4 linked regions of the Pelodiscus sinensis genome follow. The protein of the gene in region 3 purifies or fractionates together with the protein of the main gene of each other region. This does not show direct contact. Links are inferred from orthologs where the notes say so. Each region holds a gene or a part of one and is shown on either strand. Other genes may lie near its edges. The genes, in order: AMPD2, TRPS1, CTBP1 and FOXP1.

The links.
Region 1: the proteins of CTBP1 (region 3) and AMPD2 purify together in Homo sapiens (affinity purification with mass spectrometry; 3 studies listed by BioGRID and IntAct, with this or other methods). This does not show direct contact. The link is inferred for Pelodiscus sinensis from reciprocal best matches to the Homo sapiens genes CTBP1 and AMPD2.
Region 2: the proteins of CTBP1 (region 3) and TRPS1 purify together in Homo sapiens (affinity purification with mass spectrometry; 3 studies listed by BioGRID and IntAct, counting the BioPlex papers as one, with this or other methods). This does not show direct contact. The link is inferred for Pelodiscus sinensis from reciprocal best matches to the Homo sapiens genes CTBP1 and TRPS1.
Region 4: the proteins of CTBP1 (region 3) and FOXP1 purify together in Homo sapiens (affinity purification with western blotting; 3 studies listed by BioGRID and IntAct, with this or other methods). This does not show direct contact. The link is inferred for Pelodiscus sinensis from reciprocal best matches to the Homo sapiens genes CTBP1 and FOXP1.

Annotation. Positions count from the first base shown.
Region 1 is NC_134737.1:15,280,209-15,287,780, forward strand, and holds the start of AMPD2 (AMP deaminase 2), read right to left. Parts: upstream 3,009-7,572; 5' UTR 2,875-3,008; coding exon 2,793-2,874; intron 1-2,792. UniProt on the Homo sapiens protein: AMP deaminase plays a critical role in energy metabolism. Catalyzes the deamination of AMP to IMP and plays an important role in the purine nucleotide cycle.
Region 2 is NC_134712.1:24,634,266-24,642,114, reverse strand, and holds the start of TRPS1 (zinc finger transcription factor Trps1), read right to left. Parts: upstream 3,009-7,849; 5' UTR 2,505-3,008; intron 2,231-2,504; exon of another isoform or gene 1,758-2,230; coding exon of another isoform or gene 1,748-1,757; intron 1-1,747. UniProt on the Homo sapiens protein: Transcriptional repressor. Binds specifically to GATA sequences and represses expression of GATA-regulated genes at selected sites and stages in vertebrate development. Regulates chondrocyte proliferation and differentiation.
Region 3 is NC_134715.1:120,934,019-120,941,176, reverse strand, and holds the start of CTBP1 (C-terminal-binding protein 1), read right to left. Parts: upstream 3,014-7,158; 5' UTR 2,738-3,013; intron 1-2,737. UniProt on the Homo sapiens protein: Corepressor targeting diverse transcription regulators such as GLIS2 or BCL6. Has dehydrogenase activity. Involved in controlling the equilibrium between tubular and stacked structures in the Golgi complex.
Region 4 is NC_134721.1:10,182,314-10,189,358, forward strand, and holds the start of FOXP1 (forkhead box protein P1), read right to left. Parts: upstream 3,008-7,045; 5' UTR 2,686-3,007; intron 1,289-2,685; exon of another isoform or gene 1,190-1,288; intron 1,011-1,189; exon of another isoform or gene 995-1,010; intron 1-994. UniProt on the Homo sapiens protein: Transcriptional repressor. Can act with CTBP1 to synergistically repress transcription but CTPBP1 is not essential. Plays an important role in the specification and differentiation of lung epithelium.

The sequences.
Region 1 (7,572 bases), on a different chromosome or scaffold from region 3:
CCTGCTACATGCATAGTGTGGCAGAGACCCGGACAGGTGCTACGCTTTCCCAAGGCCCAGGCACCCCAGGCCTCCTGCGTGTGGGGGCTTCCCGTGGGCCCCTTGAAGCTGCGACATTAACGTGCGCGTGGGAGCCCGTGCTTTGTAGAGCGCTGGCAGCAGCTGATTAACGGTTCCTGGAATAGTCACCATCCAGCGGGGTTCGTGTGCGGGAATGCGGCAACGAATTCCATCCTAATCCGGGCCGTGTCAGTAACCAGCGGCGTTAACCCTCGGTAAAAGGCGTTTGCTAAGGCACCGTTCACCTTCAAGGGCAGCCAGAGCCCTAGGGCGAGGCGTAGGCAACAGAGCAGCTCCCATCCACCACCACCACCCCGCCCTTCCTGCTGCTGCTCCCCCCTCCCCAGATCTCATGCCGGGAGCAGTGAAGGGAGGGGAGCTGGAGGGAATCTGGCAGGGAGCCATGCTTGCCAGCCTCTGCAGTGTGGCAGGGGAGGGATCTGGGGGGCGCAGCCAGGCTGGAATCCCCTCTGACGATGCACCCCCTCCCGGCCAGTGCCAGCTGACTCGGGCTCTGGCGAGAGGGCTGTTTAACTCTGGTGCAGACCTGGTCCTGGAGGCCGTCTCCAGCCCCACGCGCCTGAGCCAGCGGGCACGGGCCAGGTGTCTCAGTGCAATGTAGACACCCTCCGCTGCCCATCCCCCGCTGTCTGTCTGGAGGATGCCTCCTGCAGCCCAGGGGCCTGGGAGCGCCCACAGGACCTCACCCCTCAGCTGTCTGCCCTGGGGCGCCCTCACAGCAGCGCCCTGTCGATACCAGCGCTGAGGCCCGGAACCAGCTGCATCACAGAGATGCTGATTTCACCCCCTTCCTCACCTCACGCCCTCGAGGGATGGTGCAACCCCGTGACTTCCTCTGCTGGAATCCTGCACCCCCGCCTAGCAGCCGCTCCACCTCCTGCTACCCATTTCAGGAATTATAATTGCAGCAGGAAAAACAAGGTATTGATCCACATGCAGAATTACACACACCCCTATGCCCAGGTGTCCAGACCACACAACGGCCTCCCGCCCCCTGGGAACTCAGCACACACGAGGTGAGCGTCCCACACCACCGCACACTCCACAAGCACACAGCACGCTGATCAGCATCAGCCAGGCTTCTAGGCTCTATGGCAACAGATGATAAATAAAGGAGTAAGAATAATGTGTCCCTGCAACACAGCCCCATGAGCGCACCACACAACACCCACACGCAGATTAGCTAGGTGCATTATGAGCTTTTCCCTCCCCACTTGCCTCTGACACCCCACAGTGCCCGAGACTGATGCAGGAAAGTGAACTATGGCCTGGGCCAGTATTAAGGGAGATTCCATCTGCCCTAGCACGACATTCACTGTGGGGCACATGCAGGTGAGCCCAGCTCATCAGGTGTGGGTGCATCATGCACAGCACCCCCCTGCCTCCAACATTCACAGCCCCCAGGGCCTGTGCTTAGGGGCATGATTCTCACACCACAAAACACAGTCCCACTGACTTGAACACGGGATCCTGTAGCCAGAGAACATGCCCTGGGACCGCCTGGCCTGCAGAGCTGACACCCAACTAGTGCCCCAGCTGCCCCACATTAAAGGCTGCTGCCTAGGTCCCCACAAGCAGGACTCTGGTGCGCCCACAGCTGCAGCAGGCTGTCTCTGCAGGCTGGGGGCTCTAGAACACGTGGTGGGAGAAAGCTGGATGCCCCCCAAGGTGGTGGGTGCTATGTTCCAGCCCTAGGAGAGGGCCCCAAAACATGGTTTGATCCATGTCTCCCATGCCCACAGATCCACGCCACAGTCGCGCACCTGCACCCACACCCGACCCACTAGGGCTCACAGGGGCAGGAGGCAGCAGCTTCCACCCAGGACCTCAAAGCATTTCCCAAAGGCAGGTGAGGAGCATCACTCCCAACTCACAAATGGGGAAGTGGCCACTCGCTCGGCGGGGGCAGCTCAAAGCCAGATACACACAGAACCCAGCCCCCCCCCCGCTCTAACCCGACACCCTGTGCGGGAACCCGCCCCCCCCCCGGCCCCCCGCTCTAACCCGACACCCTGTGCGGGAACCCGGCCCCCCCTGACCCCCTGCTCTAACCCGACACCCTGTGCGGGAACCCGGCCCCCCCTGACCCCCCGCTCTAACCCGACACCCTGCGTGGGAACCCGGCCCCCCCGACCCCCTGCTCTAACCCGACACCCTGTGTGGGAACCCGGCCCCCCCCGCTCTAACCCGACACCCTGTGTGGGAACCCGGCCCCCCCCGCTCTAACCCGACACCCTGCACTGCACCTAGACATGCAGGGGACCCAGCCCCCCATTCCGCAGCTCTAACCCGACCCCCAGCATTTGCCCCCAGCCACGCAGGGACCCAGGCCCGGCCCCCAGTTCTAACCATGACACCCGGGCAGCCCCTGCTCTAACCACTAAGGTCACTGCCCCCCCCCCCCACATCCGCAGCACACACGCGCCTGCAGAGTTCACGCCCCCACACTCACGCGCAAAGGAAGCACGGGGGGGGCTTTCCTTTCCCTCCCCCCAGCCCTATCCATCCCTTGCCTTTACTAGCGCTACACGCACCCCGTCCCCGCAACGCGGCGCCCACGCCAGATGCCCCGGATCCCCCGCAGCTGCGCCGCCCCGGGGGCCAGGAGGGGAGCCGGTGACCCCCCCGGTCCGCGGGCGAGCGGAGAGCCCCGGCCCCGCGCGGAACAAAGGCAGCCCACGCACGGGCGCGGGGGCCCGGCCGGCGCTCACCTGCGGCGGCGGCGGGGGCCTGCAGGCTGCCCCGCTTCTGGAAGGGGTGCTTGCCCCGGGGGGGCGCGGCGCCCGCCGACATTGCGCCCGCCGGGGAGTCGCAGCTGCGGAGCCGGGAGCTCTTCCTGCAGCAGCGGCCCAGAGCTTGCTCGGCCCCTCCCCCGGCCGCTGATTGATGCAGCGAGCGCGGCGCCGGATCGAAGTCCCCGGCTCCGCCTGGCGCGGCGCCAGGCCCGGGGCCCGAGCTCGGGCGAGCCCAGCCGAGGGGCAGGGCAGGGGCCCAGGGCGCCGGCTGGAACAGACCCCAGGGGCGTGGTTTGCGGGTTCCAGCAGCAGCACCCCCTGCGCAAAACTTGGTCCGTCCTCCCCCCTCCCCCCAGCCGGGCCTGGTCCCAGCTGTTCCCAGAGCAGCGAGCCCAGCGGGCCATGGAGCCAGTCTGGGGGCTCTGCTAGGGGCCAGAGAAAGAACTCCCCTCCCTGGAGAGCTGTGGCAGATGAGGGCGCCTGGCCAGATGTGGCAGGCAGATCCCCCCCCCCATGCCTCAGGGATGGATCCGTGCCAGGCCACAGGCAGACCCACCTGCTCACCTCTGCAGAGGAGCAATCCAGGCCCCCCTCCCGGGGCTCTGCCCACAAGACCCAGCACCACCCTGCACAGCATCTTTCCTGGGCGGCCATGGTGCTTTCCAACCCGCCCCATAGGCCCCTATCACTGGGGCACACAGAGATGTCACACCAAGCAGTACATCAGCATCACAGCCGGAATTGCACCTCCTGCCTGCACTAACCACTGAGCCACACTCCCATCCTGATCGGCAGGACAGGCAAAGATGTACAGTACAGGCTTTTCAGCCTCCTTTCCCTCCACTGCTATTTTCAGAGGCTGCCAGCCCCATCCCAGGCTTCTGCTAGCACAAGAGCCAGAAAAGGGGCTCCCTGGTGGAACAGGAACAGGCAGCAGGGACAGGCCCTCCCCGCTAGTAAGACACTAGAATAAGCAACACTGGCTGGTGGAGAGCACATGGGGCTAGGACTCAGGAGAGGTGGGTTCTATTGCTGACTTCACCAGTCTGTGCCTCGGTTTCCCCTCCCCCTTTGCTTGTCATATTTACTTAAATTGTTGGCTCTTTGGGGCAAAGACTGTCTGTGGGTGTGTGCGGCACGCAGCCGGGCAGGGCGTATCATCTCCGGGGCTGACCGTCCTCTAGCTATTTCACCCCATGGTCTCAGCAGTAGCTGGTTTCTGGACTACTGTGGGGTGGATGTGTGTAGGGGAGAACTTTAGGAGCCATGGCACCTGCCAGGCCTGGGTCTCAGGCCTGGTGAAATGGACTTAGTCAAGAGGGAGAACAAAGGGCATCGGGAGCCAGCCTGTGTTTACTGTCTGGATGTGGCGGAGCCTGACACTTTACAGAGACGAACAGTCCCCTAGAAATGTCCCTGGGCGGGGGGTAACTGTGCTGCAGAGAAGAGCCCCAGAGGGTCTCAGGAAAGGCAGGCCTCGGGTTCAGAGCTGAACAAGCGCTGCCCAGGCGGGTGAGAAAGGGCCTGTTCCTGGGGGCCAGGGGGCTCTAGGCTGCACCTCCCTTTGCCTCCTGTGTCCCAGTCCTTGTGTTTGAATCGTTAGCTCCAGCTCTGGCGAGCAGCCCTCCCTGGGGGTAAGCGCAGACACAGGGGAGTGCCTGCCCCGAGCACTGGGGGCAGTGGCCAGTGGGGCCAGCAGACACAGGGGAGTGCCTTCCCCGGAGCACTGGGGGCAGTGGCCAGTGGGGCCAGCAGACACAGGGGAGTGCCTTCCCCGGAGCACTGGGGGCAGTGGCCAGTGGGGCCAGCAGACACAGGGGAGTGCCTGCCCCGGAGCACTGGGGGCAGTGGCCAGTGGGGCCAGCAGACCCGAGCACTGGGGGCAGTGGCCAGTGAGGCCAGCAGACACAGGGGAGTGCCTGCCCCGAGCACTGGGGGCAGTGGCCAGTGGGGCCAGCAGACACAGGGGAGTGCCTGCCCCGGAGCACTGGGGGCAGTGGCCAGTGGGGCCAGCAGACACAGGGGAGTGCCTGCCCCGGAGCACTGGGGGCAGTGGCCAGTGGGGCCAGCAGACACAGGGGAGTGCCTGCCCCGAGCACTGGGGGCAGTGGCCAGTGGGGCCAGCAGACACAGGGGAGTGCCTGCCCCGGAGCACTGGGGGCAGTGGCCAGTGGGGCCAGCAGACACAGGGGAGTGCCTTCCCCGGAGCACTGGGGGCAGTGGCCAGTGGGGCCAGCAGACACAGGGGAGTGCCTTCCCCGGAGCACTGGGGGCAGTGGCCAGTGGGGCCAGCAGACACAGGGGAGTGCCTGCCCCGGAGCACTGGGGGCAGTGGCCAGTGGGGCCAGCAGACCCGAGCACTGGGGGCAGTGGCCAGTGAGGCCAGCAGACACAGGGGAGTGCCTGCCCCGAGCACTGGGGGCAGTGGCCAGTGGGGCCAGCAGACACAGGGGAGTGCCTGCCCCGGAGCACTGGGGGCAGTGGCCAGTGGGGCCAGCAGACACAGGGGAGTGCCTTCCCCGGAGCACTGGGGGCAGTGGCCAGTGGGGCCAGCAGACACAGGGGAGTGCCTGCCCCGAGCACTGGGGGCAGTGGCCAGTGGGGCCAGCAGACACAGGGGAGTGCCTGCCCCGGAGCACTGGGGGCAGTGGCCAGTGGGGCCAGCAGACCCGAGCACTGGGGGCAGTGGCCAGTGAGGCCAGCAGACACAGGGGAGTGCCTGCCCCGAGCACTGGGGGCAGTGGCCAGTGGGGCCAGCAGACACAGGGGAGTGCCTGCCCCGGAGCACTGGGGGCAGTGGCCAGTGGGGCCAGCAGACACAGGGGAGTGCCTGCCCCGGAGCACTGGGGGCAGTGGCCAGTGGGGCCAGCAGACACAGGGGAGTGCCTGCCCCGGAGCACTGGGGGCAGTGGCCAGTGGGGCCAGCAGACACAGGGGAGTGCCTGCCCCGAGCACTGGGGGCAGTGGCCAGTGGGGCCAGCAGACACAGGGGAGTGCCTGCCCCGAGCACTGGGGGCAGTGGCCAGTGGGGCCAGCAGACACAGGGGAGTGCCTGCCCCGGAGCACTGGGGGCAGTGGCCAGTGGGGCCAGCAGACACAGGGGAGTGCCTGCCCCGGAGCACTGGGGGCAGTGGCCAGTGGGGCCAGCAGACACAGGGGAGTGCCTTCCCCGAGCACTGGGGGCAGTGGCCAGTGGGGCCAGCAAACACAGGGGAGTGCCTGCCCCGGAGCACTGGGGGCAGTGGCCAGTGGGGCCAGCAGACACAGGGGAGTGCCTGCCCCGAGCACTGGGGGCAGTGGCCAGTGGGGCCAGCAGACACAGGGGAGTGCCTGCCCCGGAGCACTGGGGGCAGTGGCCAGTGGGGCCAGCAGACACAGGGGAGTGCCTGCCCCGAGCACTGGGGGCAGTGGCCAGTGGGGCCAGCAGACACAGGGGAGTGCCTGCCCCGGAGCACTGGGGGCAGTGGCCAGTGGGGCCAGCAGACACAGGGGAGTGCCTGCCCCGGAGCACTGGGGGCAGTGGCCAGTGGGGCCAGCAGACACAGGGGAGTGCCTGCCCCGAGCACTGGGGGCAGTGGCCAGTGGGGCCAGCAGACACAGGGGAGTGCCTTCCCCGGAGCACTGGGGGCAGTGGCCAGTGGGGCCAGCAGACACAGGGGAGTGCCTGCCCCGAGCACTGGGGGCAGTGGCCAGTGGGGCCAGCAGACACAGGGGAGTGCCTGCCCCGAGCACTGGGGGCAGTGGCCAGTGGGGCCAGCAGACACAGGGGAGTGCCTGCCCCGAGCACTGGGGGCAGTGGCCAGTGGGGCCAGCAGACACAGGGGAGTGCCTTCCCCGGAGCACTGGGGGCAGTGGCCAGTGGGGCCAGCAGACACAGGGGAGTGCCTGCCCCGAGCACTGGGGGCAGTGGCCAGTGGGGCCAGCAGACACAGGGGAGTGCCTGCCCCGGAGCACTGGGGGCAGTGGCCAGTGGGGCCAGCAGACACAGGGGAGTGCCTTCCCCGGAGCACTGGGGGCAGTGGCCAGTGGGGCCAGCAGACACAGGGGAGTGCCTGCCCCGAGCACTGGGGGCAGTGGCCAGTGGGGCCAGCAGACACAGGGGAGTGCCTGCCCCGAGCACTGGGGGCAGTGGCCAGTGGGGCCAGCAGACACAGGGGAGTGCCTGCCCCGAGCACTGGGGGCAGTGGCGTTGGGACCTTTCCCCGGGGGCACAGACAGGAGGACCCCGTCAGCAGAGGCAGCCATTGACCCCAGACACTGCAGGGTCCCCCAGAGCGCCCGGCTGCCTCTCCCAGGCGGAGCGCGGGGCCCGGCTAGATGCTGGTCTGGCTGGAGGTTGCACAACAGCCAGTTGCGTCACCCCGGGCCGGGGGAAGCGCCCGCAGCTCCGCGGCACCAGGGCCTGGCTGCGCCGGGGAACGCCCGTTCCGGGGCCCCGCGCCCCCGAGCGACCCGCCTGTCCAGCCAGCTGCAGCAGCGCGGGGAGCGCCCTGCCCGCGGGGAGACCCCGCCCCCCCCCCGGCATGTCCCGCCAGCCGCGCGGGCAGCAAACCCCCCCCCCCCCCCCCCCCGGGCCCGGGCCGGCTCCCAGTCAGGCCCCGGCGGAGTCAGGGGGACGAGACTGCCCCTCCCCCTCCCGGGCCAGGGTGTTAGCCCCCCCCCCCCGCGAAGCGGAAAGACAAAGAGGAACCGAACAATCCGCCTTTGTGCTGCAGGAGCCGCGTGTCGGCTCCGGCCCCAGGGAGCCCGCAGAGCC
Region 2 (7,849 bases), on a different chromosome or scaffold from region 3:
TTCTCTTATTTGGATTAATTATATTATTAACAACCTTTCACTCAGTAGTTAAAAAAAATCTTTCAAAGTGTTGATATCATTTCCAGACTGTCTTGTCAGCATCACAATTTACAGGAAATAGTTGATGTTCTCAAACAAGCTCTGTATTTACTCATAGAGCTACAGTACGTTATAAAAATCCTCACTCTTTTGGAGTTTGTTTGTTGTTTTGTTTTTTTAAATGTCACTTTGGTGGAATATCTGAGAAAGCTCTCTAACCCAATGTACATACTTATGAACATGACGAAAACACTGACTACAACTCAGAAAGATTACTGTAACTTTTATTCACATTTTGTCCACGTCAGGAACTGGCTCTTACCACTAACTTTCCTTCACTGCCCCTTGTATTTTTAACTCTGGCAGTCTCTTCTAAATGATCAACTTTTCCTAAAATCAACAGCAAAGTAACATGATGCCACCAAGACTCATAGGTTTTAGCGCAGCTGAAGAAGACAGCTAAAATGGCAAAGGACTTCATACTTTTACTAAACCCGATGAAATAACAACCAGGTTGTTACTAACAAGTAGTATCTACAATGTGTGTGGGGTACAAACTACAAAAATTGCTTACAGTCCATGCCCCAAAGAGCTTACAGTCTTTATATTTAAAAAGTATTTTCCTCCCACACTTGCTCTGCTTTTTCCTCCCTTGCATTTATTATTTAATTCTTCTACCAGATAGTAAATTTGCACTTGTGAAGGGAGAAGAGGATGGAATTAAGAGATGACTTCACTTTCATAATTCATTCCCACTTTTTGCACTGCACCATGCCTTCCATACACTTCAGAGATTTGACATTTATGGATGGAGAATGTCTAATTCCTTTTAAGTTAATGGGCCACTCTATTCCTTCAAAAATAGCTTACGAGAGTCCTGGAACATTAAAATTCATTTTTTCATTTGTAATAAAGACAAATAGCTAAAACATATCAAAATGTCAAATCAAGGAGCTACTTAATGAGCGGCTCAAGTCCCAAAACAAATCTACTCTGAAAAATAGCTCGCAGTGCTGCTGGAGTCCCACAAGTTTGTGGGTCTTTCTGGAGAGTCAGTTTTGATTGCCAGACCTTTCCCTGGATCCACTTCCCATACCCAGTGATCACAGTCAGGAATCAGGCAAAGAATTGCACAGAGAGACAGAAAGAGAGAGAGAGAGAGAAAGGTTGTTTGCACAGCCCACCAAACGCTATTAGGCCACCTTTCCTCACCCTGGAGCTTTTAACGAAGCCACAAATTCCACACACACACACACACACACACAAACACTCATCAATACCACCATCACCACTACCACCACACATTCCGCCCCAGAACTATCAGGAAGTCTCCCTATATCCCCAGAACTTTCAACAACAACAAAATGTCACACAGATCCCAAATGGAGAAAGCAGGGTTTTAAAAAAAGTGAGACACTAGACAAAGTTCTAGCAACCCTGGCAGTGCAGAGCGTGGGGACTCAACTCTGAAAGTACAACTTTGCCTTTAAGAGGAAAAAGTTTTACGTCTCTCTCTGTACTCTCTGATTTCCTTTAAAATGCACACACACACACACAGACACACACACACACACACAAACACACACACACCAGCATGTCGCCTATTCCCCTGGTGTGACCGGGTGCGCAGCCCCCTCGACACATGCACACCCGTAACCTCCCCTGGTGGATCCCCAAGACAAATACAAAAAGTTTGCCCCAAACTTACTACTCTTCATGATGGTCTCTCTGTGCCCCGCTTGTCATGATTCCCATTAAAACTTCCAGCAGCAGCAAGCAGCAGCAGCAGCCAGCACAGTGCGACTGCGGCGCATCGGATGCAAAATCTCTTTGCTCTTCTTCTACTTCCAGCCCCCCTCCCCCCCCGATGGTGGGGAATGAACAATCAGAGCGATAAGAAGTAGCTAGACAGAGGGGAGGTGGCGAAGGGAGATACCAGCCCGGGAACTGCTCCCCACCCCTTCTATGGGTAAATAGAAGGCGAGAGTCTTAAACCAGAGATGGGGGTTGTTTGCCCTGCTCGCTTCGCTGGCTGAACTTGACCCTCCTCCTAAGTCCAGAGGGGCTACTGCAGTTTTGAAGTCGCCAGTTTCCAGCGATCACACATGGCTTTGACCCACCAAAAGAGGGAGGAAAAAAAATGCACCCAAACCCCCCACCAGCAGCAGCCTGTGAAATCCGAGAAGCCCTCGTTTCCCTCTGATTTTTACCCCCCCCCCCTGGATGTGTGTGTGCGCGCAAAGAAACTCACTTTTAAATCCCCCCGCCCCCCCCCGCCTTCCCATTTCACACACACAAGCACTTAGCATACAGAACAACACACTTACTACATACGCAATATCAACAGACGGAGCAGGAAGGAGCCCCCCCCCCCCAACGCCATACACTTTTTTGGCTGATCCCCCCCCCCCCATTCCCCGATCTCTTCTTCCCACCCACCCTCCGAGCCCTCCCTCCCCCCTTACCTGTTGATTAATCGACAATAATAATCTCAGCAGCCTGAAAGATGGTGGAGCTGTGGTTTGAGCCATGAACCGTCTTCTGTTGTTTGCAGAGTTGATCTTGGATTATTTGGGGGGAGAATGGGGGGGGAAAGAAAGAGAGAGGGGGGGGAAGGTTCTCCTGCCTTTCCCCCTCTCCCCCTTACCTCCCCCCCCTTTATAGGGAGAGAGAGAGAGAGAGAGAAAGGGAAAGAGAGCAGGGACCTGGATGTGCCTGGTGTGTTTATAAAAAAGGAGAGAGAGAGAGAGAGAAGAGGAGGAGAGCCTGGATCTAGTGAAACAACAAGCCCCCAAAGGAGGCGGCTTTAGATTGCAGAGAGATCAGCTCTTTATCAGAAATGTTATCGCTTGTCAGGACCTCAGTCTCCGAGCATTACGTCAGTTTCAAGACACCAACACTATTAATATCAAAGGAGCCTTAGCAGAGAAAAGCGCCACCCCAGACTGAGAGCCCTTAAAGAGACAGTACAGGAGTCCCCACAGAGCTGCTGTGTTCAGCCTCCTCCTCCTCCGGCCAGGCAGCAGCAACCACTGGGGAATAGGCTGCTTTGGAATAGACCAAGTCATTCACAACTTTTTTTTTTAAGTAAATGACATTAACGTTTATGCAGGATGCTCTGGCGTAGGGGAGCATCCCTGAGGAATGGACCTTGCCGGACTGATCATTACATCCTTGGGAAAGTGTGAGAGGGGAAGAGACTCTGATTGTGCTGATTTTCAATAGCTATTATTGATTAATAATTGTTTGTTAAATGCTGCTGGTCTTTGCTCAGCTTTTCTAAAATTGCACACGATTTTTGCCTGGATGTGCTATTGGAAAGGCGACTGCAGCTACCTTTTCCTTGTATTTTGATCCAGGACAAAAGGGACAGAAAAACAACTGGAACTTTTTCCAAGTTCGGGAATGGGGGGCAATAGTAGGAAGCAGGATAGTGCAATGCCCTGGTCTGCTCATTTAGTGGGTTCAGTTTCCAACAACAGCCTTAATTAATATTATTATTTTCTTTGTGAAGAACTGACAATACCACCCTGTCCAAGGCACAAAATACATAGTCAATGCCCCCCCCCCCCAGGATCTTACAATCTAAATAACACAAACACAAAGTAGACAGGATTTGCGAGAAGTCTAGACTCATTTATTATTGTTACAGTATCATTATTTCTCAGTTTTCAAATTAATACAATTTATTGTTAGTTCTCTGTTCTACCACAGGATAATCCCAATCCTCTTTTCAGAAATTTCTTTATACTTTTCTGTGTCTATACAGAATCTTTTTTAAAGATCAGATTTTTCCTCTACCATGAATTGCCAGAACTCTACATATAAATGTTTAAAAAAAAAGTTTAAGGAAAAGCAATGTATATAGCTCCTGGGAAAGGATTTTAATCCCCAAGTAGAGTAAGTGTTAAAAACTATATAAATATTTCTTGGGCATTTGGACACAATTTTCTGAGCTAGGTGACTTTATATGGCATTTTTTCCTTCTATGTCAGTCATCTTGAAATTTCATATTGAAATAGACATATTCTGGACTTTTGCATTGAACAGTAAATATAATCCAAGTGAGAAGCTGAAAAAGAGAGTTATATCATTAAAATATTAGTTATGGATTAAATTATTTCCTACCAAATGTGTTTCACATGGCATAATGTTTGCCTTACAATTTTATTTTCAGGAAAAACTTAAATATGAAACAAAAAGAATTTCAAAGACATGAACCGAGTTAAAGTAAAGGTCCTACTGCAAAATATATGGCATTTTCATCCACTTTTTAAACTTATACATTCATTTATGTTTATTATAATATTCTGGCAGATTTGTAAAGTAATTGCTCATGTAAATCACAAAGTAACACATTTCTCACTTTAGTTCTTTTCTAGGAATCTCTGATAAAGCACTTTATGAATAGAAAAATAATCATTCATGCACAAGAGGTGAGTTGACAGGCAGAAAAGGGTAAGTAAAATATAGTTCCACAAAAAAGCACCCTATGTCTCACAGGAAATAGGAGAAGGGAACTAACATATTATATGTGGGACTTACCATATCCCCATCAGCAGAAATTAATTTTGAACAGTTATGATATTTTATATGAAATGCAAAGAACAGTAATTCCAAAATCTTCAGTAAAATTTAAAGTCTGTTCCTAATGACTCCCTATATAATTTAATGCCAGAGCAATTTACTGTAGAGCATCACTAATGCATACACAGTAAAAGTGCTTTCTGAGATGGCAGATTTTCACCTTTTTTTCTAAGCTGCAAATGTAATAACTGAACTTTAATCAAATAGGCAAGATATAGAATCATTTTCACAAACTTTTACTTATTATGAGCTACACTGAGAAATAATCCATTCAGTCAAATCCAGATTTGTTCCCAGGTCTAAATAATTTAGATTTTTAACTACATTGATTAGTCTTTCTGACCTGGCCTATTAGTCCAGTATATAAAAGGTTAAAACAAGCCAGTACTTGGCTGATAATTTGGCTAAACATCCTATAAGCTAGGTTTGAATGGAAAATATTTAAACAGGGGTTATTTCCCTTTTGCTTTTCTGTTATATTGAAATTTATTTAATTAATATCTTCTATTTTTGAAAGAGAAATAATAAGACACGCACATCTTTAATTCTATCCCTTCTCAGACGATATGTGAATGCAACTTTCTCTGACCTTAAACTACAAGATATAAAACATTAAAAAGTTTGTTAAGAATGAAAGAATGAAAGCTCCAACCAATGCAAACTTTTAAGATTATATACACAGCTTTTTCACCTTAAGAAAATGTGACTAGAAGAATAAGGATGTTTATTTTTAAATCACATGAAAAGTTACAGAATGGCATTTAAGGATGTGCTGATTTTTAGAACGAAATAGTAAAAGCATAGGTCATAAACTGCTAGAATAACAAAATATTTTTTCATTAATTAAAATGGGAAGTGTTAGTGAAACACTGTATTGCAGAGAAAAGTGCTACAGTACCTTGTATAATAATGCTTGCTTGATACGTTCTGCATTTCAAATTAAAATAAAGCAGATCGAGAAGATGTCAATATCAATCTGTTTATATTAACCAAGATCTATGGAGAACTTAATAAAAGCAAAAATATTTTCATAAACTTTTGGAGGCAAATTATTCATTTATGAAATAATTTACAAAGAAAAATTTTACCTCATGCTTTAGATACGTCGCATATGCTCATGATTGACACAATATGTTTGGGCTCAAAGGCCTGTATACCATTTTTTTTATCCTAGGAGGAATATTTCAAAACAACAAACTAATTCATGAGGTCATACAGTAATTGCTTAACAGTTGTTTTCAATATAGAAAATAAGTTATGTATATTGTTTTCCTTTAAATATTTGTTGATTTGTTGTTATAATCCTTCGACATTGACATTGCACAAATTCCATTCAAAGAAATATTGACGATGTATTTTCATGTATCATCTTCTAATGTCAAGCATATGCAAAACCACTTCAAGCAACTTTTATTTCGTGTTACTTGAAATCTACATTCTATGTGACAGCAGGTAGTTGTTTAAATAAGAAGTCTAGCTTTCTGTGACATACAAGAAAAGAAGCAGAAATGAAGGAATAACAGCTACGCAAGAAAATTTAGAGAACACGCTGTTATCACATAAGAGGCATGAACAAAGTAATTTCCAAATAATCCTCCATTTTTTACACTCAAGCACATTCTCCACTGAGAGAGAATAGAAAGGCCAGCCACAGTAGCTTCTTGAAGGAAAATGGTATAAAAGTCATTATTTATGAAGAAGACATAACATGCCATTTTTTTCCTTTAATAAATTCAATGTGGTTTTTCTTTGCTTGTAGTTTGTGTAGCTGCAAAGAGAGATTTCCAGTTAAGCACAAGGCATACTGGTTTTACAATTTCAGCCTTTTAGTGCATAACTTACTTGCTTAAAATACTAGAGCCTATAATCACAATGATTCTACCTGATGGAACATGCAATTTAGAAATATAATCCAACTGTTTACCCTAACACGTCATAAATTGCAATTCTTTACAAAAACCTCAGAGATTGACTTTGCTCTTAAATGCCTGCTGCTTTAGCACACATCATCAAGAAGGTATTTCTGTATTATTCTCCCACCAGTTAGTAGTATATCACATGAATTCTAAAGACCATTCACTTTTACTGTCTTCAATAATGAACATTTTGAGAAGCATTAACTTAGGAGTCTGGGCAATTTCAGTGAGAGTTTCTTGGGAATATAAACACCGGGACCTACAGAATTTCTGCAGACCTACTTCATTTCTTTGCAAAACTTTTGTCACATGGAATCCTATCATCTTAACAGGGAAGTTTTTTATTTTTTGTATTTTTTTTATGTAGGTAAAGAGTCAACTTTCTAAATTTCCAATGGTACACTAACACAAAGACAAAATTACCACTGATTTCAAAAGGAACAGGCTTGAGGACCACAAATTATATGGTAAATGCTTCTGAAAAGAGTTTTTGCACAATGATAGATGAGATAACACCATGGACAGCCAATGAAATATCCTGCAACAGAAGGGTGAGAATAAAATGGCATGATCCCAGTTTTAACAAATGTTTTCTAAAGGGACTGGATATCTGGAAATGGAGACTTTCATTTGTATGTCACTATTTTAATACAGGCCAACTCAGTACTGATGAAATATTAACATCTGGTGGATGTTTGGTAGCCTAATCCATTATGTAGTATAAAAATGTCCATGTTGGTACACCACCACCACAACTGGCAAGTCAGAACCTGAATGCTTCCCTTTTGTCAGGAGACACAATGGAGATACTGTGGAGTATAAGGCAGGTGGTTCCTCCAAATTCAAGATGAGGGACAATATGGAATACTGCTGCTATATAGGAAGAGAGAGAAAGAGAGATAACTTTAGGACTATCTATCTGTCTACCTATCACTATTGTGAAATGTACTGGAAATTAAAAACAAGAAACCCCAAACTGCTCAAAATCACTTACATACAATAATACTCACTATTATATAGATTTTGATTTTAAAAACTCCACAGCAAAAGGGTGCTCATCTGAAGCTCCATGAGCCCTTTGACCCATATATAATAATAGACAAGCAAATGTCAGTTAAAAAGAGCAGCAGCATGTTTCCCTCCCATAACTCAGCCATACACTCAACTTTGGTTAGAAGCCCAAAACAAGTGAAGCCCCTTTTCTGCAATCATTTCTCACCAGACAGAAACCCTACCCACAAATGCCTAAATCCCTACTCCTAGTACCTATTGCTGCACAGCCAAATGATTAAAATAGGATTGGCACA
Region 3 (7,158 bases):
TCATATACACACCTACACCTTATAAGCTGAAAAGAACTGGTCGCTAAAAATAAAAAACACACAGAGTACAACACAACAAATGGTATTTCTTAAATGGTTTTGTGGAATGGCAATTACGGTGTTAAATTTTAATTTTGTATTGGAATACACAGGTTCAGCAAAGTAACTCTGAGCATTGATCTAAACAACCTTCCAATCTAAGGAGTTCAGTTTCATGAGTCTTCACTGAAGTCTCTTTCATTGAGATAATGCAAAGTTTCTAATCAAAGGTTTCATAACAGATACCAGGAGCTGGGAAGGGAAAGAGCAAGAAGATGTCTTGACATAGAAGAGGAAGAAAAAGCCACAATAAAACATTTAAGATGCTTATAAGGTTTGTTATTGACAAAATCCAGGATGGACTATGATGAACTACAGTTCTACTGTGTACTTTAACAAGTCTTATCTTCCACCAGTACATTAAAATGTACATATATTTTTTAAAAAGTATTATTTGTAATAGTAGTAGTGTTTTCTCCAAACTTTATCACAATAGATTAACAATTAAAAGAAATGTGTAATGTAATTCATAAGGTCTTTCCCTTAAACATCTCCTTACTGTGACTTTTACAGTAACACCATTTATCCATAATGGAAATTAAGTGTGGCCTATTCCTTTCTTTTCTCTCTCTACATATTCCACACAGCTAATCAGTAGCCTCTCTCTGACCCATTCCTTCAAGAGTCTAAATGATCATCAACTTTTCTCCAAACAATTATGCATTAATTCTTGTCCATATCACCCTATGAAATGATCTGCCTCATCCACTGAATCACTTTTGTAAAAAATGTAAGATAGCATCTTAACTTCTCAGCTGAAGCAGGAGTAGAAACATGGTCAGTCTATTAGGCTACAGTTTTCCCACAACAAAGATTGGTCAGAATATTACATTTCTGGTTTTATTTAAATGTTCTCTACATAGGCCATTTTCCATTTGATATGGTCAAATATTAGAAAACAATAAAAAAATATTTATACAAACATCATATTCATGTTTAAATATGGGAAAACCGCGTAAAGCTTTTTTCATACTATGAAGAAAAATGATTTATTAGAGAATAACTAAAAAAAATGAATAGAATGCATAGAATGGCAGGCTTTCCCATGTTGTTATTTGGTGAAGAAAAAAAAAATCTATGCAAAGTTTTTTGCTTTGATTTTGTTGGAGCAGGAAAATTCTTTATTATTATAATAAACATATACAAGATTGTTCTCAGAAGTGAATGAAATCACTTACAAAAATTGGCTGGGGATCATTCAGAACCAACAAGAAAGATCCATTTCTAAAATTATTATGACAATATACTACAACAGAATGTTTACCTCAATCCTGCCCCTCCTTAAAAGCCTCTTCAATGTTAATTCCCACTCTAGGGCTACAGGTCTTCTGCTAAAATTTTTTCTAGATTCTGTAATCCTTTTCTCTTTAATCTCCAGTCTATGAAGAGAGATGATGAGATCCACATATGCATAGCAAGTGAGGATTTAAGTAACTTTACATCTCACCATAGTTACCACATTTGATTTAAACAGGACATTGAATCATTTTGTCATTTAAGATTTTATGTGTGTATGTCTTGATATGTTCAACGAGCATGCAATTTTACAAGCAAATTGTTTTATGTGGTTAATGGGCAAACTACATTTCAATACATCAGTAGATGTGACATTAAGATTCATCATTCATCTCTGCAGGTTATTTCTGGAGGGGAATAGAGCATTTGCCAGGTTCATTGGTGGCTAAAGGTTTAAATGTGTTACTATTAATTTTGTTTAAAAGATTTTTCCCACTACTACCATTTCATGAATATTTCTAAAACAATTCCTTGACGTTTTCATTAGTCTGTCAAAACTGTTCTATTGGACTTTTTTGTTTCTCATGGTAACCAATTTTATTTGACTTAACAGAAGCTGTTCAAATATTTAAAGGCACTCCGAGATGGCAGGAGTTTATCTAGGAGCATACATGTTGTGTCACATATATTCCTTTCCTCGCTCTTATTTTTATTTTTTTCTCCAGAAATAGTAACAACCAAACAGGACACTAACTGGACATATTGTACCAGGAACCTGTTCACTTAATCTGTTTATGGTAAAATTCAAGTTATAATAGGCACGTTTAGAAATTACAAGCTCGGTCGTTAAAACAGATGCCTGTGACGTTCCTTCATATGTACTGTATCCCTCTGCCAATACTACCATCAAGCGCAAGGCAAGAACTAAAGTATAAACATCTGCAACACCTCTCTGTTTTGTTAACATTCTTTCACACATTTTACTGCTAACTCCGAAAAAGGAGGATCGACGGTATAAAAAAAACTGAAATTGGAAACATCTGTGAGATAGCTACGGAAAACGGAATGAAACATGAATAAACAAAAACATGGCGAAAGTGGCCTGGGGTTGTTACACTGTCAGATCATTTTTCCAAGCCCAACATCAAGGCTTTTGTTACAACCAAAGCGGTCATTTGCATGGAGAACCAACAGGGTTTCTTCTTCTTCAGCGTTTCCTAGATCGTAACACACACTCGCTCTCTTCCATACACACACAGGCAAATCTTCCCCGTTGCAAACAAACAATACAGCTAACCACACACATTTTCGCAACTGCGGAATCTACAGATTACAAACGACACTCCGCATACTTCATAGTTTGGTGCTGAGATGTAATTTAGCAATAAAATAACAGACAAACCTTTGGAGCGCTGCCCCAGCCGGAGTTCCTCTCTCCCTCTGCTCTGCTGTTACTGACAAGATCAGGCTGAGATTAACAAGTCCATACTACTGAACACTCTTACTCCTCAGGTTATTCCATGCACTTCGTGTGCTTTAAATAATATCAAACTTCTCAGAAAGTTTAAAAAATAGTGAATTAGAAACAGAGCACAGAAATAAGAAAGCAGAAAACACTGTACGGGCAATTATTACAGCAGCACGGAGGGCACTGCTTTATAGTTTAGGTTGTGTCAGCACTTCCATTCTAAACCCCCATTTTCGGGGGGAGGGGAGAGGAGGCTGTTATAATTCAAGCCAACAAAAATTGCTCCTAGCTAAATCAGGTGATATTATTTCTTTTTAATATTTAAAAAAATCCATTTAGTGACTATTCAAAAGTTTTAGGGGCACAAAAGTACACCCATTTTAGCAGCTTTGGAAGCTTTATTTTCACTTTTCCAATATAAATAAAACATTAAACATTCCTTTTTAAAAATAAAATTTCACAGACCTTTGCTCTACAATGAGAGTCTGGTCCTTCACTTTTTATAAAAACACATTAATAAATATTAATATCTGAAAACTGTCTGAATACACAGTAACTTTTAAATAACTGTTAAGTGAATTTATTGGCTAGTTCCAGAGATATTAAGTTGTCTATTTAAAGAATTGGGCAGCACAGACAGTGGTCCTTGCCAGTATGTGTCCAATCTAATCTGAGGCAGCTTTGTAAAATTCTCCTCCCACCACTTGTTGGAAGCAAACCATTTTTCTGACCGGTGAATGTCCTCAACATCTTGGTAAGGTGCTTGTTCTGCAATGGCTACTTTACAATGCTGCTCTAACCGGTGATAAGGCAAGCCAGTCTGTACTCTTACTCAGTCTTTGACCAGTCAACTATTGCACTGGTGATGATTCCATGGCCTGGATAACTGACCCATGGAAACTGGACCATGATAGACAACTTATTTCATATAGATGACTACATAGCCAGGACAATTTCAACTTTATACCTTTTGCTTTTAATAAACATCTTTATTAGGGCTGTTCATCATATATATGCATGACCAAAGAATAACTGTCAAGCGGTGAATTCTATTCAAATACTAGTACATTCTTTGTAAAGTGTAAACACATGGATTGACAGGTAAAAGTAAAAAACCAGGTCAGACAAAAATCAAAGTGCACATTCAGTTATCCCTCAGTTCGATGGAATGCATATAAGCTAATGCACCCCTCACCTCACTAATGCAGAAACTCAGAATATCACCATGTTATATGTCATTTTGCTATCAGTCCCTTATTTTGAAGCATTACTTTTCATTTTAAAACCCTCTTCTCATCAAAAGATGAATTACAGAAATGTATATGTAGCCAAAGCCTACCACAGTCCATTCCTTGGGGCTGTATTCTCCTATCAACATGCAGTTAGTGAATTCAAATCTATTCAAACGCGCCCTGTTAACAGTCCAAGAGGGAGTGCAGGTCGTTGTTTCTCTAAAATATTATTCCTCCCAACTTCCCAAAACCACGATTGTTTGAAATACACCAAGAAGTATTTGAGATCCAAGTAGTCTACCCTGCCTCTTCTCTGTCCCATATAAACACCCTCTCACTATCAAATGATTGTACGCAACAAGTCACTCTAGTATGGTCCATGTCAACATTATGATTTATTAACAATTCCCGCCCTAGAAGAAATTAGATCTCCCATCCTCCTATATAGATGAGATAAAGCCAAATGGATGCCCATATGAAATATAATAAAGTATATAATTACTTGTCAACAGAGTAAAAGTAAGGCTTGTTTTAGTCTAAGAAATATATAGAGTATTTAACATTTAAAATGTATACTTTCCAAAGTGATTAAATAGTTGGATGGCAGTCATTAATTTCAACAAACTGTTCATTCCCATTAATAAACGCTTTGAAAAGGATGATCAACAACATCTGGAAATACAAATTCAAAATAAAAAAAAAGTCTATGGCATCCAGCTGGAGAACAGGGAGAAAGAAAAAAGTTATGGCCATACATACTCATCTTAATGTACCCCAAATGTATACTTCCTAGCTTTTGTAAGAATTACACAATGATACTTAAGAGCTAACCATTGTACAGATTTGTTTTGCACTAATCACAACTCCCTTCAAATTAAATGAGGGACCCAAAATTTTGGAAGGGGAGTTCATCCAAAGAAAAATAATCTTTATTTTCAAGTTGTCATTAAACCAAAGACCCATTTACATATATGGATGTTTATAATCACTTTATAATAGTGATAAATCACTTTATAATCACTTTTTAAATTTCAGCATGTTACTGACCACTCTATTTTTTAACATAAGTCTAAATATTTGAGTGATTAGTTTAGTTTAAGTCCACACAGGATGAATGCCATTATTTGCATGAATTATTAGTTGCGACAATCTTAATTTGAAAATATACTAACAATGCACATATAGGCTGTATAAATATTTAACCATGCCACCTAGAAAGTAAATTAGTTGACATTCAACAATTAAAGCTGTCTTTCTGAAGTTGCAATATTTAAAGGTTAAAGATTAGACATGCTCCCTCTTGTGTTAAACTAAGAATGCATGCTGTTTTCTGTGACATGATGGTAGCTCAGCCATCTGTTTCCACTGAGCAAACCTCAAACTTTGATTGCTAATTTCTGACAAACATCCACCAATAGTTCTACAGTACAAAGGTTGGCTCACTTTGCACACATTCATAGGATTACTTTATGTTTGAGAAGTACTGTCATTTTGCATACTGTAGAAGATCACCATTAAGCATAAAATAACATACCAAAAGTATGGTGCAATAAAGATTAGTGGACATAATTAAATATATACACATGAAAATAAACTACATACAAAATATATATCAAATATTAAATAACTTTATTTCATACATGGCCTAATAATTTACAACAAAATATCCACCCTTTGCTAATTTTTCCTTTCCATTAGTGTTAGTTAGTTAGTTACAGGATTCACGTAGTCTAGCATAAAAGTTTGCTTAAAGAATCTTTACAAAATGTGTATTCATTTCATAGCTATGTGAAGATAGGAACACAACAGTGCTACGTAAATGTGCATGTGTGCACAAATTATCTACCTGAGGCTCCGATCTTTCAGCTTGACCCACTGAAAGCCTTATACCCGCCTGGAGCCTCAATAAAGTCAATCAATGTCCATTCATGCAGACTCAGTTGCCCTTAGGGCAGCGATTCTCAAATGTGGTGGCCACTAAATCCCCTATCTCTGTCCAGGAGACTAAGGCAAAGAAGCAGCCTCTCTTAGCAGTGCCCACTGGCTCCACAGGTAGTCTTCCACTTCCCCAACCCCTTTGTCCTTCCACTGATTCAGTTGCGGAGCTCTAGGGGCAGGCTCCAAACCAGGGTAGCTGTTTTCAGTAGGGTCAGAATACCAGGTCAAGGCAAAAAGTCGGGTGAGAGTCTGTGGAAAGAATCTCAGGGTAGCAGGGGTAGGATAAGTGGAACCTCAAAAACAGGGGGCTGGGGGAAGAAGCAGGGTGAGAGGTGATGGGAGGTAGCATGGACTAGAGGCACCAAAGTGCAACTATACATTATTTTCAATATTGAATATAAAAATAAACCCTACATAAATAAATCACAATGATTTGGGCTTGTGTGTGTACACATTTGGTTTTCCTAATATTAATTATGTATTTTAGGAATATTTGTCAGACAGTTGTTGTTAGAACTTATGATGCCTTATGACATCTCAATGAGAGCACAGACAAGCACTGTAAATTAGAAGTTTAACTAGCTAACACATTTTAACTAATGTGATTTTCAACAGGACTTTGCACTTAGTGGAGAGAGAATAAATAACTTAAAATCCTGTTGATTGGTTGTGGCCAATCCTAGACTCTATGGTAAATTTAATTACAACCTGTAATGGATGTTTCATCATCAGCTGCGGTGTCTAAAAGAGGTACAAAGTCCTGTTTAAAACATTTGTTATTTATTAGGTAACATTTTAAAATGTAATGTATTTTATAGTCTTTACTGAAGAATATTTGGAAAGTTTTAAAATTATGCAAACTACCCTCTTTTTCTTGTAAAATGTGTTTTTCATTAAATCCAATTCTCTAAAGGTTAACAGAAATAATGCAGCCAAACCTTAACCAGGAAGGGCAGCAAAGTCATGGATGCTTCATATACATGCACTATTAAATCTTGGACCAATATTTAAAAAGGGCTCTAGAGGCGATCCTGGCAATTACAGACCGGTAAGTCTAACTTCAGTACCGGGCAAATTAGTCGAAACAATAGTAAAGAATAAAATTGTGAAGCATATAGAAGAACATAATTTGTTGGACAAAAGTCAGCATGGTTTCTGTAAAGGGAAATCCTGTCTTACTAATCT
Region 4 (7,045 bases), on a different chromosome or scaffold from region 3:
CAAAAGTCCAAGTTTCCCCTCCTTCCCTTGATCTCAATATGGTTTCAAAGATGCATAGTACACTCCCTTCTGAGATCTACTTTGTTCTTGTAGAACTCAAAATATTTGAAAATCTCTCAGGCTTAACATTGCAGAAAAAAACCAACAACAGAATTTCACTTCTCAATCATATAAATTGCAAAATACCATTAAGTATTTCAAACATCTATTTCTGCCTCCAACAAAATTAACCCAAAGATAACTACTACCTTAAGGAGCCTGAGTAGGACTTGTCTTTAAAAGTCATACTTAAAGTCACTATCTGCCTAGTTAAGAGAATTAAATTAATTATACTGACATTCTGAAAGTTAGATAACCAAAACAAATGTATAAAAACAGAAAAAAATTAATTTAAAGCAAAATTTTTTTAAAAAAAATATGTATAATTATTCAGTACCACAGGATTCAGAATTGTATCCTATACAGACACACGCTGTGCAAATATTGTACACATTACTCATTCACACAACAGTTACTAAAAGTGAAACCCTAAACTTTTGAGAGGCTAGGAGATTAAGCCAGAACTCTTTAAAGTGGAATTCAGAAGCATGTGTAGCTCTTAAATGAAATGCTTGGTAGGAGCATTATGTCTGAAGAGTTGACACTGACAGCCGCCGTTTTTTTTGTTTTTTTTTAAAAGGGCCATTTTAGGAGTTTTTTGGTTCACTACAAGCAAAATTTTAAGACCAATGGGTAGAATGAAGGCAGGCTAAAACCAACACACTTTGCAATCGGCAAAGCAATGGCATTTAAACACAATGAGTTGGAAATAATTAACAGTTGTAAAGTGGAGTGGGGGAGGGAAAGGACTCATTGTCACTATATTTTATAGCAGCACTTACACTGTTAGCCAAACTCTGATCCGAGGTTTCCTTATTTAAAAAAAAAAAAAAAAGATAACTCCGTGTTAATACATCTCGCCGCCTGTACTCCCCACCCCTTCTGTTTCACTGACCTGAAATAAACGCTTCAGCTTCTAGCTTCTCTAAGCTGGTCTGTGCCCTTTACGATAGATGTTCACCTGGTTTCTCTTTATTTGGGAGTTTACTGTTGGAGCGGGGAAGTTGTGTACACGTGTGTGTGTGTGGGGGGGGGGGGATCCTTTATACCCTTATATGTAAAAAGCCTCCGCTGATTTTCCTATACTTACCGGGAGACAGCAGGGAGAAAGGCTCTGAGAGTGAACGAACGCCAGTACACAGCTTCTCAGTAAAGTCTGCTGCTGCTCCGGCAGGCAAAACTTTGGGCTCTACGGTCGAGAAGAAACCAGGGGTTCTTTCAACAAGTCTCCGGAAGGCAGGTTTGGTAAAGGGGTCGGAGGGGGAAGGGGGAGAGTGTGCTGTGTTTAAGGGGAGGGAGAGGAAGAAGAGGAGCCCTGAAACACTTGCAAGCACCGGGATCAGGAAACAGATCTAAGGACTTGAGTAAGTAACAGGATCTAAAAATCTCCCCTCATCCCCAGGCATCTGAGATGCGCGCTTGCAGAGGGGCAGCAGGGGCGAGTGGCAAGGGTCGGGTTTGGAGTTGTAAATGTTTATTCAAACACTTCGTCCAAGGCGAGCGAGGCAGAGGCTAGCCAAGCAGCCGGCACCGAAGGCTGGGCACGATGCACCGGGCTGGGCGTGCGCGCATGTGACACGGGCGACTCCGGCGCAGACATCTGGGCTGACTGATCTAGAAGCGACAACAGGTGGTATGCGGGGGGGGGGGGGGCAGGACTTGCTCAATGACGTGTGGGGGAATCAAGGTCGTCCCCCCCCCCGCACTGGGGGGGAGGAGGGCGACAGGGAGAGGTGACAACCCGTGGCCGCAACTTCGCCGCGGGCTCTCCGCGCATTGCCTGCAACCGCACCGCGGGGGCGCCCCTGCAGCCAGAGCCCCCAGCCAGGAGGGCAACTCCCTGCAGCCGTCCCGGCTCCGGGGAAACAAGCCCAGCCGAGTCCCGGGGAAACTCAGCGTGGGCAGCGCCTCTCGGTGCGCGTGTGGCTGGAACTGAACGGAGCCTCCCCCGCGTCTGGCGGGCTCCCCCGGGGAGAGGGGGGGGGGGGGCGGCGCGCTCCTCCCCAGCCAGGGCGCAACTCCACGGGAGCGCACCACGGCGGGACAGCGGAGCGAGCGGGAGGCGAGCCCAGCCCCTGCCTGTGCGCAGGGGGGTGTGCGCCCGGGGCCTGTGCGTGAAGTTCACAGGAGGAAGGGACGCAGGGGGCAGAGATGGATAAAAAGTTTCCAAAGTGAGAACTGAAGGGGAGAGAGGCGGTTCCCCCCCCCCTCTCCGAGCGCCTGGGGAGCGGCACTTGCCCCGCCACCCGCGTCTCTGCCCGGCGAGGGCGCCCGCCAGACGAGCCCTCTCCAAGTCGCCGCGGCGCGGGGCTGCTCCGGCGGCAGTGGCCAGCCGCCAGCTGCAGGGACCAAGCCCAGAGGTGAAGGAGCCGCCGCCTCTCCCAGGGCATTCGCTCTGATTTATGCAAACAGCGTGGCGGCCAGCTCGCATCCCCCCGCCAGGCGGCAGGCAGAGGGGGGCACGTGGAGCTGGGAAGGGGGGGGGCAGAGAAGGAGTTGGAGGGGGGGGGAGGAAGAGAGGGAAAAGTGAAACAAACAAGAAGGAGCCTGGAAAGTGGAGGAGAAAAGCCAAAAAGCCAAACTCACCCGCTGGAGACGGCCGGTCGGTGCCTCCCCCCAGCGCGGGTGAGTCTGCCTGCCCGTCCCCTCCCTTCCCTCTAGCCGGGCAGCCCCATGCGCCGAGCCCGGGCAGTAGGCACAGCGTGCAACAGCCGCACAATCAATAACAATAGAGCCCTCCGCTCGGGACTAGCTTCCAGGGGAGCCTGCACGCAGCCCAGCAGGGCCGGCGGGTTCCCCCCCTTGCTCCCAGCCCCCGCCGCTCCCGGCTCGGCTCCAGGCGCCTTTGCGCGGCCGCTCCGGAGTTTGGCGAGCGGGAGGAAGGAGGAGAGGCAAAGCTGGAGGGGAACGGCGGGAGGGGGGGGGGGGAGAGAAAAATAACACCCCCGCGGAGGGAGATGTTGTTATTTTTTGCTGTTGTGAGTCTCTGACGTCACATCCACCTGCTGGGTAAACAACAAGGCTCGGTGCAAAGCGCACACACACAAAAAGCAACACACGCGCGCGCGGAGCTCGCAGTTGCAAGAGAGGGAGAGGAGCCGGGGGCAGCGCAGCCGCGGGGGAGAGGATGGGGTGGGCTGCAGGGCTCGGCGAAGGGGGGGAGCCGGGGAAACACCCCCCCCCCCCGCGGGAAGGGGGGGTTGGGAGCGGGGTGCGAAAGCTGCGCGGTGGGGCAGGGGCTGGGTGGGGAGCTCGGCGAGCAGCAGCCCGCACGGGCGAGCGTTCGGCCGCGCCGTAGCCATCGGCTCTGGCCTCCCCTCGCGGCTCCTCGGCACTTGCAACCATGAAAGGCGGCGAGTTCGGGAGGTGAAAGTTCAGCCGAAGGACAAACCCCCGTGTGCGAGGAGCCGGGCTCGGCTTACAAAGGGCACGGAGCGGGGTTAGAACACGCGCGCCGGCGGCACCAGGGAGGTTCCTGCCAGCGAGGAGAAAGTGCCTTAAAAATCGCGAGTCGCTTGTTGCCCCCCTCCCCCTCCCTTTCTAGGAACAGGCTCAGCGCCTAGGACGGCGAGTTGTTCCACACAAGTTACCTGCGAGTACTGCAGAGATTCCGGCCAGGAGGAAAGGGTTGGGGGGAGTTTTACATCCAGGGTTCAGAAACAGGGATGAGATTTGTTAGCGGGTTGCAACCAGGCTTGAAGTTAAATCGCCTGAAAGAAATCCAATAAAGGAGGCCGGGGATGCTTAATAAATGCCGCATTATTTCTAAACTCTTAGCACTAAATTAACTCCCCTCCTTAAAAAAGAAAGATACAAAAGGGGGGGGGGAATAGGAGGGGAACCACTGAAGATTCATATTGCTACAGCCATAGCAGTAGTGGCTAGTTACTAGCATGTGGGCATTTCTTTCATTCATGCAGTTTGGAACAGTCTTGCTGCTCACAAACCTTTTTGCCTTTTAAAAACACTCTTGTTTAATATTCACCCATAACATGGTCCAGGCCTTTCTTTAAATGAATCAAATTTATAGTAACTGAAAAATGATTTTTGCACAACCAATTTATAATTCAGGACCTTTTAGGAGGCTCCCAGCACTTTGCAAAAAAAATGCTTCCCCAAATCCCTGTAAAGTAGGGAACAATTGTTTTATAGATCCATGTATATATGAGGCACTGAGAGGTTACATTAGCAGCCTAAAATCATGCAATGAGTCGGTAATAAAGCTGGAAATAGAATCCAGAATTCCTTGCCACCCAGTCCTGTGGTCTAAGCCCTCTCTTGCTATTGTGCTTCATATAAAGAATTACTTGCACTTGTCTATTAATAAATAATACATCTAAAATAACCAATGAATATTTTGTCCTGTTTGTACCAGTGCCAGGCAGAGGAAAAGACCAAATGCTAACTCAGAGTGTTGCATGAGATGCCCATACTTGCATGACTTGAGAGCTTACAGGATCTTGTCTCAGGAGCAAGAGTCAACGCCTGCAATCCACATTTAGAACAAAATTCCAATTGATCTTGATAGGAGTTTTGACTGAGGAAGGACTGAAAAATTGGATCCTCTGTCTCTATCTAACAGATAATAACTCATCGCTGCAACAGCTTCCTGGTAAAAATTTACTGCGTTTAAAAAAAAAAAAAAGAGCTGAAATATTGTCTTATTGTTCCAAGCATTAGATAAAGCACTACTAATATCTAATAGTGTTATGCCCAAGGACCATTGCACTTACGTGGTATGTTAGATCATCCACTGCTTCATGAACCACACTGGCATAAATGATGAGAGTTAAAACATAGATATAGCTGTAATTTAGAGAGAATAAACATGGCAAAGTGGCATTTCCTTGGTGGAGATTAGTTGGACTTTTAGAACCACTGACTGTTGTCCAGTTCAGTGACAGTTACTCCTATACAACTGTTATTCTGGGTCAGACACATATAATACTGCAAAGAGCACAAAAAACATCAACAAACTCCACGCATGAAATGCTGGTCCCATTGAAATCAATTGCACTTCTTCCAGTGATTTCAACAGGGCCAGAATTTCGCCCCTGGTCACAGAGGGAGGAAGTGACAGGCCCACGCGTTGGCTGGTGTTAGCCATCCCACTAGTTAAAATTATAAATATAAAATGTTTCCTGCTAACCTATACACACACAACCTCCTTTATACTCATTCTGTGTGAACAATGCCTACTGGTTTCTGATGTTCAAGAGGGCTGCATATAGAATGTCCGGCAGAGATCGACTGTGTAGATTGAAGATGAATATTTTACCTTTCCATTCTAAAACAATCAACTTGGTCCATGAGCATATCTACAGTAAGTGATGTGTTGAAGTATCACCTCCCCCCCCCCCCCCACCCCTTGAGAAATAAAGATAATGGCCAGATTTATAAAAGAAGGTGCTTAAAATTAGGCTCCTAAACTTACATTTAGGTATCTAAAACAGTGGCCTGATTTTCAGAGATGCCAAGGACCCGGAAACATCCTGTGTGATAGTGTGACAGCATTTCTGCAGCATTCTGTGAAGAACAATTTAGATGGCAATTTGATTATAGGATTATTGAGCAACCTACTTGGTTAGCAGAAACTATTTTCTTTCAACTAAGTGGGAATTGTTAATAATCTCATTTTTACCATTCCTTTGCTTTTTAGTAATTGCATTCACCTCATTTTGGGCTTTCAGCAGGTTCGAAATAAGAGATTCAAGAGGGGGAGCTTATTTTAAATGTTCTTCTATATGATTTTGTATATTTCAGTGTCTAGTCAGCTGAAGTGGTGAAGAACTGCATGTCCATTTACTATATGTTAGTGGGGAACTTAACTGCTTCTTAACATATTGTTCATTTTCAACACTGTCACGTTGCATTCATATAGAGCACATTTTAATTTCTTGATCAGTAATCAAGTGGAAGTTTCTTCTTGGCAAATTAAAGCAGGAAGATTTTCACACAAAAGAAAGGGTATGGTAGTAGGACGCCACCTTTTGGTAGAAAAAGTAAATAGAAGCATATTTCGAAAATGCTACTGATGTGCAATTACACTTTAAATTACACTAATGGCAAAGTACTTATGCCTAATTCATTATATTTTAAATAATTAAGAGGAAAATCATTGCAAATAAATATTTGCAGAGACAAAGATGGTTTAGCTGTACTTTAAGAGGAATCTTCAAAGACAGTAAGTACATAATTTCATTATGTCATTGTATTACTGAATAAACTCAATTATCAAAAAGCAACAACAAAATGCTAGGCTTCAGTCTACCCCACTCACCTGATGTACAGTAGAATATCTTAAAGATGTGTGCAATTGGAAAAAGGCCAGTTACATTTTTGTAATATCATTAAGGTATTTTTCATCTATTTTCTATTTTACTTCATTGTTTTGTGATAGGAAACTACAACAGGAGAAAATATATAGTGCAAATTTTGAGACCATAGCTTGCACATAAATAGCAGTTGTTTCCTCCCTTACTGAAATGCTTTAGACGTATTTATGTTTATACATTTAAACCCAGAATAAACTTTTGTTTATTGCAAACTTCTTGGCTCTTGTTTTTAACTATGCAAATGTAAATCAGTATATTAACGCTATAAAACATGATTAATTCCATAGACAATAAGAGCAGAGGGATTTCTCCCTCCCCCTCCACCAAGGCAAGCTGCTAATTGCACTTGAATTGTTTACTGCTGTATTGTTTTACAAGTGCCTAGAGAAAGAGACGCTTGATATCCCCACCACCATCGTCACAGTCCCAGGAGCAAATGCTTGGCGGATTTGGGTAAGGGTGTACACATGCTATGACTGCAGCTTGTTAGTAAAAAATAAAAAAAAATTATGGAGGTGATGACGCCTCTGTAATTATAGGTGTTACTGTTTTAAAGTCAGAATGTTTTCTAAGCTGCTATAGCGCCACGCCTCCAGCATCCCATGAGCAAT